Linked DNA regions of Ovis aries. The protein of the gene in region 1 purifies or fractionates together with the protein of each later gene. This does not show direct contact. Links are inferred from orthologs where the notes say so. Each region holds a gene or a part of one and is shown on either strand. Other genes may lie near its edges.

Region 1 (5,372 bases):
GGAGCGGCGCGGCGCGGCCCATGCGCTCAGCGGCGGCGCCGCGGGCGGGACGCGGCGGGGGCGCGGCCCCGGGCGGCCCCCATCGCAGCGGCGGCGCGGCGGCCCGCAGGCGGGCGCGGGGCAGGCCGTGGGGCCGCCGCCAAGGCCGGCCGCGCACTCCCGCCGGCCTGCTCCGCGGAGACGCGGCTCCGGCCCGACTCCGGCCGGTCCGGCGGCGGCGGCGGCGGCGGCGGCGGCGGCGGAGGTTGCGGCGGCCACGATCGCTTCCCCGAGCGGGGAGCCGGAGCCCAGAGCGCCTAAGCCCAGGCCGGAGCGCCCCCGCCGGCGCCGCCCGGAAGTGCGGGGGCGGGGCCCGGAGCGTCGGGCGGGGCCTGGAGCGCGGGGCGTGCCCAGAGCGCGGGGGCGGGGCCGGGAGCACCTGACGGAGCCCAACGCGGGGACAGGGCGAGGAACGCGCGGCGCGGAGCCACCGGCGTGGAGGCGGGGCTGTGTGGGCGGGGCCGAATAGTGGGCGGGGTCAAAGGCGGGGGGAGCCGGGCGCAGAGCGCGAGACCGAGCCAGAGAGCGAGACCGAATCCGAGCGCTGGGAAGGGCCTGGAGCCTGGGGCGGAGCCTCTGCCGTGGAGGCGGGGCCTGGGCGTGGGCGTGGGCCCTGAGCGTGGAGGCGGAGCCAAAGGCGTCCAGGCGGACGGGAGGCGTGACGCAGAGCCCGGCCGAGTGGGCATCCTCAGATATGTCACTGGGGGCGGGGCCTTGGTATGGGCGGGGCCAAGACGCCGTCGAGGGTGACCCCGGAGGGGGTGCCGGAAACCGCGCTGGTCCCCTGGGGCTGTGTCACTAGGGAGGGTGCCCCGAGCGCCCAACGGAGAGACGGCCTTCAGGCGGCCCCGGAGACGCATGCCAGGTCGGAGCCCTTTTCTGCTTCCCACATGGTGTCCACTGACCCAGGGCTCCAGAGGTCAGCACCCCAGTCCCGGCCCGCCCAGCCGGACTGCCACGCCCACCGAGCTCCCTGACCCGGAAGACTCTCGAAGAAGGACGGCCACCGACTGCCCCTGGCATGGAAGAAAGCAGGTGTCCAAGAGTTGGACGGTTGCAGGGCCAAGCCAGGCTGACCAGGAGCTAAGCCCCGAGTGACATACAGCCTCGTTGTCCCCCTTCTCCATGCCTACTGCCTCCTGGTCAGCCAGGACCCTGAGAAGGTGGGCTTGGGCTCTGCCCTCCCTGAGTCCCCGTCAGGTCACACAGAAGGCATCCAGGGAGTGCTAGTTGTCACTAGGGCGAGAGCTCCAACCTCCAGAGAGAGCTGTGGGCGGGATGGCCTGGCCCCATCCCCGCTGGTCCAGCCCGCCTGGGTTTCACTCAGGCACCATCCAGGGTCCTGGCAGGGGCTTCACTTCCCACCACTGCCCCACAGGTCCCACTGGCCCAGGCCAGCCTGAGAGCAAGGGCTTCCTGATGTCCCCACACCTGCAAGACAACTCCCTCACCCTCACTGTCGCCATGGCCTCCTGGCCTGTTCTGCAAGCCCCGCTGGCTAGCTCCTGGGGTGCCCACCCATCACCAGCCCCTCCCAGAGGAGAGATGTGGGCACCAGGAAGTGCCCCTGCAGTCCACCCCCACGATCACCCAGGACCTCATCCTCCAGCTGTGCCATGTCAGACCGGGCACCTTGAGAAATGCTCCCAGGGGCCCCAGGGCCTGGCTGTACCCCCTTGTACACACAAGCAGGTTGAAGCTCAGGCCACACAGGGATCTGCTCACGTCCTCCAGACCTGGGGCCCCGAGTCCCTCACCTGTCCCATGCTGTCCCTAGCACCCCCAGTCCCTCTGTCCTAGGCTGTCCCCAGCAGCCAGCCTGCTCCCTGGGGCCCTCACAGTCTTCAGGGCTCTTCCCTGGCTGCCTCTGGTCACTTGCCCCCAATCCCTGAGGTCATCTCTGATGCCACTACCTCTTCCCAGGGACACTACTTGCCCCCACTGCCCACTACGAAGGGAGGAAGTCCAGGCTCTGGGCACTCCCCCACCAGCCAGCCTCCTGCGCAGCTGCCCACGACTGGCACCTGCCTGAGGTGCACAACACGGAAGCACCCCAGCTCTAGCAACCAGCTTTCTAGGGCTCAGTACAGCCTCCTCCAACACCCAGGCTTTCATCCGTGAGGGAGGAGGCCATCAGGGAAGTGCCCCAGCCTGCTGATGGCCCAGGCCACCTCTGAGGGCTGTCACCACACCCAGGACAGGCTGGGCAGCGGCAGTGGCTACGGTGGGTCAGCACCGCAGAGGAACAGCACTGATGAACCCAGCTGGACCGACTAGGGTCCTGGTGGCAGGTGTCACTCTCTCACATCCCCTGGATGGCCCCAGGCTTCCCAGGGCTGGTACAGGAGATGGCTTTGCAGCCTCTCCCTGGCTCTGTTCAGCTGCAGAGTCTTAGAGGCAGAGTGGCACAACAGGGTCTGTTTGGGCTGCAGGAGTCCTGGGTGGGCTGGACAGACAGCAGGGCCTCCAGGACATCGGTCCTCAGGCTGTCTTCCCACCACCAGACACGGGCCCCCAGTGCTTGCCTTGGTTCTGCAGAGCTGCTGCTGTGGCCAGGCCAGGCTCCCAGGGTCGTGTCCACATCCATCCTCCTCCTGGCCCATGGTGGCAGATGTCCCCAGGCCCTGGGACCAGAGCAGGGCCCTCGCACCTCCGGCTCCTCGGGGCCCTCACCCTGTAGGGACAGGAAGGGAGTCAGAAAACCTCGAGGAAAGGCTGCAGCCCACTTCCATGGGCTGTGGCTGTGGGCACTCAGGGTGGGGACGGGGGACCCCACAGGAGGGAGCTCAGGGAGGCTCTGGAGAGAGGGAGGCAGGGAGGGCAGTCCTGGGGGCCTGTGCTGGAACAGGGGTGGCTGGTCAGAGGGACTGCGTCAGCCACCCAGAGCTGTGATCAGACAAAGCCGCGGGAGCCTGGGAACAAGGAAGTGCAGGCTGGAGCCCTTTCTCCTACAGAGGGCCTTTCCGATGCACCCTCCCCAGGGGCAGCAGTCTGCCGCTACAGGCTTTGATGTGATAAACTGTGGATGACGTGTGTTCAGGCTTTCCAGGAACTAAATGAAAAACTTAAAACCAGAAAAGAAATTATTTTCTTCAACTTAAGACATAAAAGGAATATTTGAAACACAGTGAGCTCTGAAGCCTTACAGGTGTTTGTCCACTTGGCTGAGGAAGACCATTTATCCTAAGAAATGATCCACAGGAATCATCCGTGATTGACTGAGGAGGCACGCTGAGGGGCATCAAGCCTGATGCCACATGTGAGGGACGAGCCCCCGGGATGGGCTACTGCTCATGAGGTCCGCACCGCCTCCCAGGAGGGGAGGACAAGGAAGAGGCTGCTCTGAGTCGGCCTTGTAGAGGCAGTCCTGCTTCGCAGGCAGAGCCTCTTCTGGGTTCTGCATTTTCTTGCGCCTCTGCCTGGTCACAGGTGTGCATGGTGGGGGTGGGCAGTGGGCAGGCAGGTGAGGACCTGAAGCAGAAGGAGGCCTTGGCTCATCCATTCTGACGAGGGCACGCGGACTTCCAAGAGGCGGCCCCAGCCGCAGGAGCCACCTGCCTTTCTGGCCATAAACCCGGCCCCCGGGGCTCTGCATCTTGTCCAAGTGTGCTTTTTCCATCAGCTCTGAGCTCGGAGCGGGTGGGGGGAGCGGGTGTGCCCCCATCACAAGTTTGACAAAGGATGCGGAGTCGTCACACCAAGGGCGTGAGATACACACCAAGTAGAAAGGCTCAGAGCCCACACACACGGTACCCGCCTGGGTGGGTGCAGAGGACATGCCTGTAAAGGCGGGAACCACCCCAGAGCACCCACACTGGAGGGGATTGGGGCCGGGCTGCGGTTTCTTCGTGTGTCAGGAAGGACCACAAGGACACTAATGTTGTGATCTTAGGAACGCCAGGAAGCTCTGCAGCAGGCTATCTTCCCATCAACGGTCGGTACAAATTAATCCAACAGAGACAGCTGCAGGGCGAGGACCTTGGGCTACGGGACAGAGCTGATCCCTGAGGCAGTGTCAGGCTGGGTGTGACTGCTGTGGTTGCCCCCGAGAGTCTGTCCTAGGACCGGCAAGGAGGTACGCCTCCTGGGCCAGCCGGCTCCGTGGCCACCCGTCTGGGCCTTTCTGAGCCCAGGCTTGGCCTCTGACAGGTCCTCCACCTCTTTCCACCTGTGTCCGGCTCCTCTCGCCCTTCATACCTGTAGGCAGGAGTGTCCTTCAGGCTGGCATTCTGCATCCCTCTTACTGCCTGGACTTCTCTCTCCAGCCTGCAGCCAAAGCTGCCACAGACAGGTCAACCAGTAGCCACCTCAGCCTAAGTGCCAAGCAGGGAGGGCAGGGGACAGGAGCAGGGCTTTCCTCAGACAAGCTGGCTCCAAGGCCAGTTCAGTGGCGCAGCCGATACTTTCTGACCCTGCTGCTTTCTGTCATCCAGTCCCAGTGGTCTCCACTCCTAGGAGGTGTTTCATCCTACCCAGACCTCTCTCAGGCCAGGCGGTCCCACCCAGAGTGGAGAAGGAAGCATTCTGAGCACCCTGCCATTGCGGGCATTCTCAAAGACAACCAGCTGCAGGGGTCACCTGCTTGTTCCGCTTGTTTGGAGCCCCGAGTCGCAGGCCCAACAAGCCAGCGCCACACTCATCCCAGGGTCCCTGAACAGATGACTCACCCAGCAGACCTGAGAGCCCCCATACCCCTGCTGGCCCCTAGGAGTCAAGGGTCAAGTCCCAAGCCAGCACACTTAATCCCAGGGTGCCCTCCACACGTGCCCAGCTCGGGTCTTACCCTGTGTCCTGAGGGGGTCGCGTCACTCCAGGTCAAGGGGCATGGCAGGGCCACCCTCCTGTACTGCCTCTCTGGTGGATTCTGACCACAGGGCTGTCTGTTAGGCTCAGGGACGGAGGCCAGGTGTTGAGGGTTTGATGTCCAAGGTGGCTCCCAGCAGCCACTGGGGCCTGGGAAGGAGGAGGGGCGAGCAGCGCCCCCCCACCCCAGCCCCACACCTCCCCAGCTTGGTGCTTCAGGACCCCCTGTCCAGTTCCCACCTCCCTGAATACTTGAGCACCTGCCTGCCTCAGGCCAGCCAGAGTCTCCGGGCACCTCCCTGAGCCAGAGTGCCCTCCTCAGCAAGTAAGGGTGCCGACCTGCTGCTGGCCTCAGAGGTCTGTGTGCAGCCCTCCATGAACAGGCATAGGCCACGAGCTGGACCCTACGCTGGCCGTGGTCCAGGTCGAGTGTCTCAGACACATCACCAACAGAGGACTGGCCGCCCGGCCCCGCCCACTCCCAGGGCTTTCCCCAGGAGTGGCAGATCCAGGCAGAGGGGCCAGGTCCC
Region 2 (5,246 bases), on another chromosome or scaffold:
ACGATGTACTCTGCATACAAGTTAAATAAGCAGGGTGATAATATACAGCCTTGATGTACTCCTTTCCCAATTTTGAACCAGTCCATTGTTCCATGTCCAGTTCTAAGTGTTGCTTCTTGACTTGCATATAGGTTTCTCAGGAGGCAGGTAAGGTGGTCTGGTATTCCCATCATGTGAAGAATTTTTCACAATTTGTTGCGATCCACACAGTCAAAGGCTTTAGCAGAGTAATGAAGCAGATGTTTTTTCTGGAATTCCCTTGCTTTCTCTATGATCCAACGGATGTTGGCAATTTGATCTCTGGTTCCTCTGCCTTTTCTAAATCCAGCTTGAACATCTGGAAGTTCTGGGTCTTTTCTGGTTGAGATTGTAAGGGGCCTTTCTACCTTGGAGCCATACAATCTCAACCAGAAAAGACTGTCACTTCACTCATCCTGCTTGCCAGCCACTCCCTCTCATTCCTAATTTTGCTTATACAACTATCCTTTGCTTAACCAAAACCCCTCTAATTTCTGGAGGCTTCCCAGGACAATATCCCATGTACACACAGATCTCTCATCTCTCTCCATGGCAGGTGTCTCTAGATTCATGAATTAGCTGGGGACTGGGCAATGCAGGTCCTGAGATTATAGACATTGTGCTTTATTTTTTTTAAATTGTAGATGAAACCCATTCCCCTTCTCAATCTTCATTATGTATACTCAATAAATACATGAGACTTGAGTATCATTTTTCTAATCATTTTCATGTGAATCAGGACAAGTGCCAGTTGGGAACATAAAGGTCTTCTCCAAAGCTTGACAGACATTAAGTCCTTCCCGAGCATTCATCACCGCTATGCATTGCTAGGGTTTCATGGAACTTTGGCTGAGATTCAGGTTTCATTTACCCCTGTAAGAAGTTTGGGCAGAACCCAGACATCCATGGTATCAGGGAAACAAAGTAGAGGCAGGGAAATTTAATTATAGTTTTTTTCCTAAGCCAGAAAATCCCAAGGGATACAGGTAGCTTGAAGGAGTTCAGAGTTCTGAGAAAGAAGAGGTCATCATGGATTGCAAGAGATGGAAAGACACTAAGGAGATAGGCCCAGAGCTGAGAGGGAAGAGAATTTGAACATTGTAGGGTGAGTGAGTCTGAGTGTGGGGAGGGGTGTCATATAGGGCAGGTATGTTGGGTGGCTGCTGGTTTGAGACAGTGCAGAGGACATGTCTAGCTCTGAACCACAGATGCCCAGATGCAAGTAGGGGATTGTATTGGTGCTTGGTCAAAGTGAGAGGAGGTGACTGTAGTGTCCTATCTGCAGTTCTTGCTAGTGTCACAAAAGTCCCCAGCCAGCCTTCCATTAAAGTGAGGGATCTACTGGGTCTCATTTTCTCCTCTCATAGGTACCTAGGCTTTGCCAGGGACCTGTAGTGTACAGAGTTTTCCACCCTCAGAGGTGTGTTAAAGGTCCAAGAAGAGCCTTTCAAGTCCCTAGATAGCTCCTGGGCTTCCCTGGTGGCTCAGATGGTAAAGAATCCACCTACAATGCAGGAGACCTGGGTTCGATCCTACAGTTGAGAAGATCCTCTGAGGAGGGCATGGCAACCCACTCCAGTATTCTTGCCTGGAGAATCCCCATGGACAGAGATGTCTGGTGGGCTACGTCCATGGCATGGCAAAGAGTCAGACACGACTAAGCAACTAAGCACAGCACAGATAGCTCCCTCCCTCTTGTTCCTCAGAAAGGCCTAGAGTCCACAGAAAGGGGCACACTTCCGCTCAGACTGAGCAGTGGGTGGGGCCAAATGAGGGGAGCTGCACTGAGGGAGGGAGCTCTGCTGGACTCCTCAAGGGGTGGCTGGGGAGTCCAACAAAGCAGGACCCTCCATCAAGCCCATGTGAATGCAGCAGGCAGGTAAAGCTGCAGGAGATATTTGTGTGAGGGCCAAAGGTTCACCTTGACTCCCGTGGCCCATGCCAAGGCAAGCTTGGCCCATGGAAGCTGGCTCTGCAGGGCCTGTCCTGAGCTGTGGCACGCCTAGCACAGCCCCTCACTGCCAGGAGAGCCTAGACCAAGTCTGATGGTCACCAGTCAGAGGTGTCTGCAGCAGACAATGACAACGGCCCATAAGGCTGGGTATTTTCAGTAAATTTGAAGTTGGAGGATTTGGCTGCTTTTCTAGCTCTCTCACACACACCCAAACGGCTGTTTCTCTACTACAATAATTGCTCCCCCGACCTATGGCACAGAACCGCGCCCCCGCCCCCTGCCCCCCGCCACACACACACACCACACCACATCACACCATGGTTATCGCTATTTTTAAACCAGAGGTTGGAGAGAAAAGCGCGGCCAGTACCCTCCAAGGGGACAGGAGGCGAGGCTGGGCGGGGGAGGGGGAGCAGGGACAGGAGAGAGGCCCGGGGGCGAGGGGGAGTTTGACAAAGCGGCCTTGCAGCTCTAACCCAAGGACTAGCTTGAGCTGCTGCCCTAACCCAAGGTACTGCGAGAGATGGGTTGCCAGCCTCTCTGTCCGCGGGGGCGGGCGCCAGATGCGCCCGGAAGCCTAGGAGCAGGGGGCGCGGCTGGTTGGGGCCTCAAGGCCGAGGTTCCAAAGGGAAGTGAGCAGCCCACAGGCCCAACTGAGCTCCTCGAGGGAGGAGACAAAGTAGATACCCCAACCCACGCCAATGCAACTACCCGTCGGGCCCAGGCCAGCGCGTAGGCTTCGTCCCTAGAGGAGAGGGAAAGGCAGGAGATGCGCCGGGAAGGGGAGGGTCGGCAGCCGGGTCGCTGTGATGAGCGATACTCGTCTAACACAGCTGTTCCAGCTAATGTGCTACAACAAAGCTGTAGAGCTCCGGGCCTACAAAAGCACCGCTGGGGGTGCTGGTTGGCTTCTCCCCTCACGAGACCACAGGGCAGCACGTGCGGGTTGCGTCCCCTTCCTCCCCCGAGAGCCCCAAGGCATGGCCCAGGATAGTCCGCTGGCCTGCCTTCCTTTTTCCACCTCTAGCCGCGGTCTCTAGCGCTCAGAGGACATGGCTCTGACCCTCACCAGAAAGTCCTTAAAGCTGGTTCCAAAGGGGAGCGCAGAGCGGTCCGGACGCCGACCGGCCCAGCCCTTAGAGCTCCTTTCCAGGCGGCCAGAGTGGAGCACGCGAGACTGCACCGTATGGCGGGCAGGCGGAGGCTCCTGCTGCGCGCAATGCTTACCCGGCCCGGTCCGGTTTCCAGCCCGGTTTTTGTCTCTTGCGCCGCCCTGGCTGGAGCTGGAGCCTTGGCTGCTACGGCTGAGAGCGTCGCCACCGCCGCCCCTGCCGCCGCCGTGGCTCCAGTCACCTCCAGCACCAGCTCCCCTTCCCCAGGCTCTGGACTGCTCCCCCATACCCCTCCCCCGCCCCGGACTTCACAGCCACAGGGTGGGGCATTGGCTTCCTGATTGGCAGGCGTGTGGTCCAATCACCACGGTGAGAAGGCGTTTCCTGACTCGCCCACTGTTTTCCTTGGTGTGTTTCTCTTTAAATGCAAATAAGCGCGGGCGTGGTGTTGGCTGGGGGCGGAGAGGCTCCAGAACCCCTAGCGGGGACTCCTCAGTCCCCCACCCTCTCACGCCCGGTGGGTAGCTGCTTGGCGACACCGTAAGCTCCAGGGGCTGGTCCCGTCAGTATGGAGCTCTCTGGAGCCCGGTTTCGCTTTTGCAGGCGCTTTTATTTCCGTGGCCGAGGTGCAATCGGGCCGCGGCGCGCTGGCCGCCACCGGTAGTTTATTCCAGAGAGGCCAGCTGGGACAGGCGGGGTGGAGAGGTTGGGGTTCCTGGGGGACTACAACGCACCCTCTGCACTTTGCTGCCCCACCCTTAGGCATAGAATCAGGGCCCGGGCGCCTGCCCCGGAGCCGCTCAGAGGGACCCACCTGCCAGGAAAGTCAATTGCAGCTCCAGCGTCCCAGCTTCCTCCACCTTTTCGGCACACTGGAGGCTTAACATAGAGTCCAGCTTCTACCAGTTACTGAAAAGTCTGTTGCTGCCGAGAGAAGAGAAAGTGCTTCCCCAAGGTCACCTATCCTGCTAGTAACTGGGGCAGATTTGGAATTCAGGACCCGGGCTCCCAGTCCAGGGCTGCTTTCACTTTTCTTCTTTGTAAAGACCTGTTTCCGTGATTGACTCTCACCCTAATTTCCCACTTTTTATGGAACTTGAGGAGATCCCCAAAGTCTCTAGTGGCCCTCTCAGCCCTTTGATGTTCAGCTAGGCTTTGTGCAGTTCCCTATCCCTGAAAAACCTGGGTATTGAGAGAAAAATCTTGTCTGGGCTCAGACTGGAGGTCAAAGTTGAAGGTGGAATGAGGAGGCCTGTAGTAGTCCTGCTGCTGATGTGTCTGGGATGTGGTAGGGGGCCAGCCTGAACTTGGGTCTCTAGCCTGAGGGCATTAAATGGCATTGGTGGCTGTCAGGGCCAGGTGAACTGAGGCAGCAAAGAATCCAGTTCTACCACTAGCTCAAGAGTATCCAGAAGGCCCAGCCCTAAAACTCTGTGAATGTCTAAAAAGCAGGGGAGCGGGGCGAGGAGGGGTGGAAGTGATACAGTTGAGGAGGGGGGAGGGATTAGAGAAGGATGCCTGCCATTTTTTGCATTGCAGGAGGAGTGCTCTCTGTTGTTCTATTGGGTTCTATCTGCCTTGAAAAGATCCAGCTGCTAAACTGGTAAGAGGAGGACTACTGCCCCTGTGTGTGTGGACCAAAGGAAGTTACACAGTTGCTAGGGCTGGAATCTGCTCCAGCTCTGCCTCAGACTTGCTGTATGACCTTAGTCAGTCCGTTTTCTCTTGTGGGTCAGACCATTACACCATCTCCACAAGGAGGGTGTAAAACTGGTCAAGCATATAGAGTCTTCCAACTCTGACAGTTCAACTCAATTTTTTTATAATATTACATGATTTTCCATGACATTCTATACTTTGTCAACAAACATCAGTATTTTAACATCATAGCTCCTCTCCTCATCTTAGGTCCAAATAAATGTCAGAGAGAATGGGACTGCGGCTGTCTCATTGTGCAACTTTGTTGGGCGAGTGCCTTCTTCTCCCTAGCCTCAGTTTCCCATTTAGATGGCTGGACTGTAATGTTTCCCTGGAGCTGTGATTTCCTGTTTTGTAAAGCCCTGATTCTCATTTATTGGACCTGATTTGGAGGTGTCTTTTTTCCCAGTACCTCCTTCATAAACTTCTTCACTGCCTCATGCCTCTGGTTGCCTGCCACCTGT

What was found.
Region 2: the proteins of AXIN1 (region 1) and AMER1 purify together in Homo sapiens (affinity purification with mass spectrometry; 4 studies listed by BioGRID and IntAct, with this or other methods). This does not show direct contact. The link is inferred for Ovis aries from reciprocal best matches to the Homo sapiens genes AXIN1 and AMER1.

What each region holds. Positions count from the first base shown.
Region 1 is NC_056077.1:882,612-887,983, forward strand, and holds the start of AXIN1 (axin-1), read right to left. Parts: upstream 3,674-5,372; 5' UTR 2,565-3,673; intron 321-2,564; exon of another isoform or gene 1-320. UniProt on the Homo sapiens protein: Component of the beta-catenin destruction complex required for regulating CTNNB1 levels through phosphorylation and ubiquitination, and modulating Wnt-signaling.
Region 2 is NC_056080.1:46,617,848-46,623,093, forward strand, and holds the start of AMER1 (APC membrane recruitment protein 1), read right to left. Parts: upstream 3,370-5,246; 5' UTR 3,200-3,369; intron 3,187-3,199; exon of another isoform or gene 3,042-3,186; intron 1-3,041. UniProt on the Homo sapiens protein: Regulator of the canonical Wnt signaling pathway.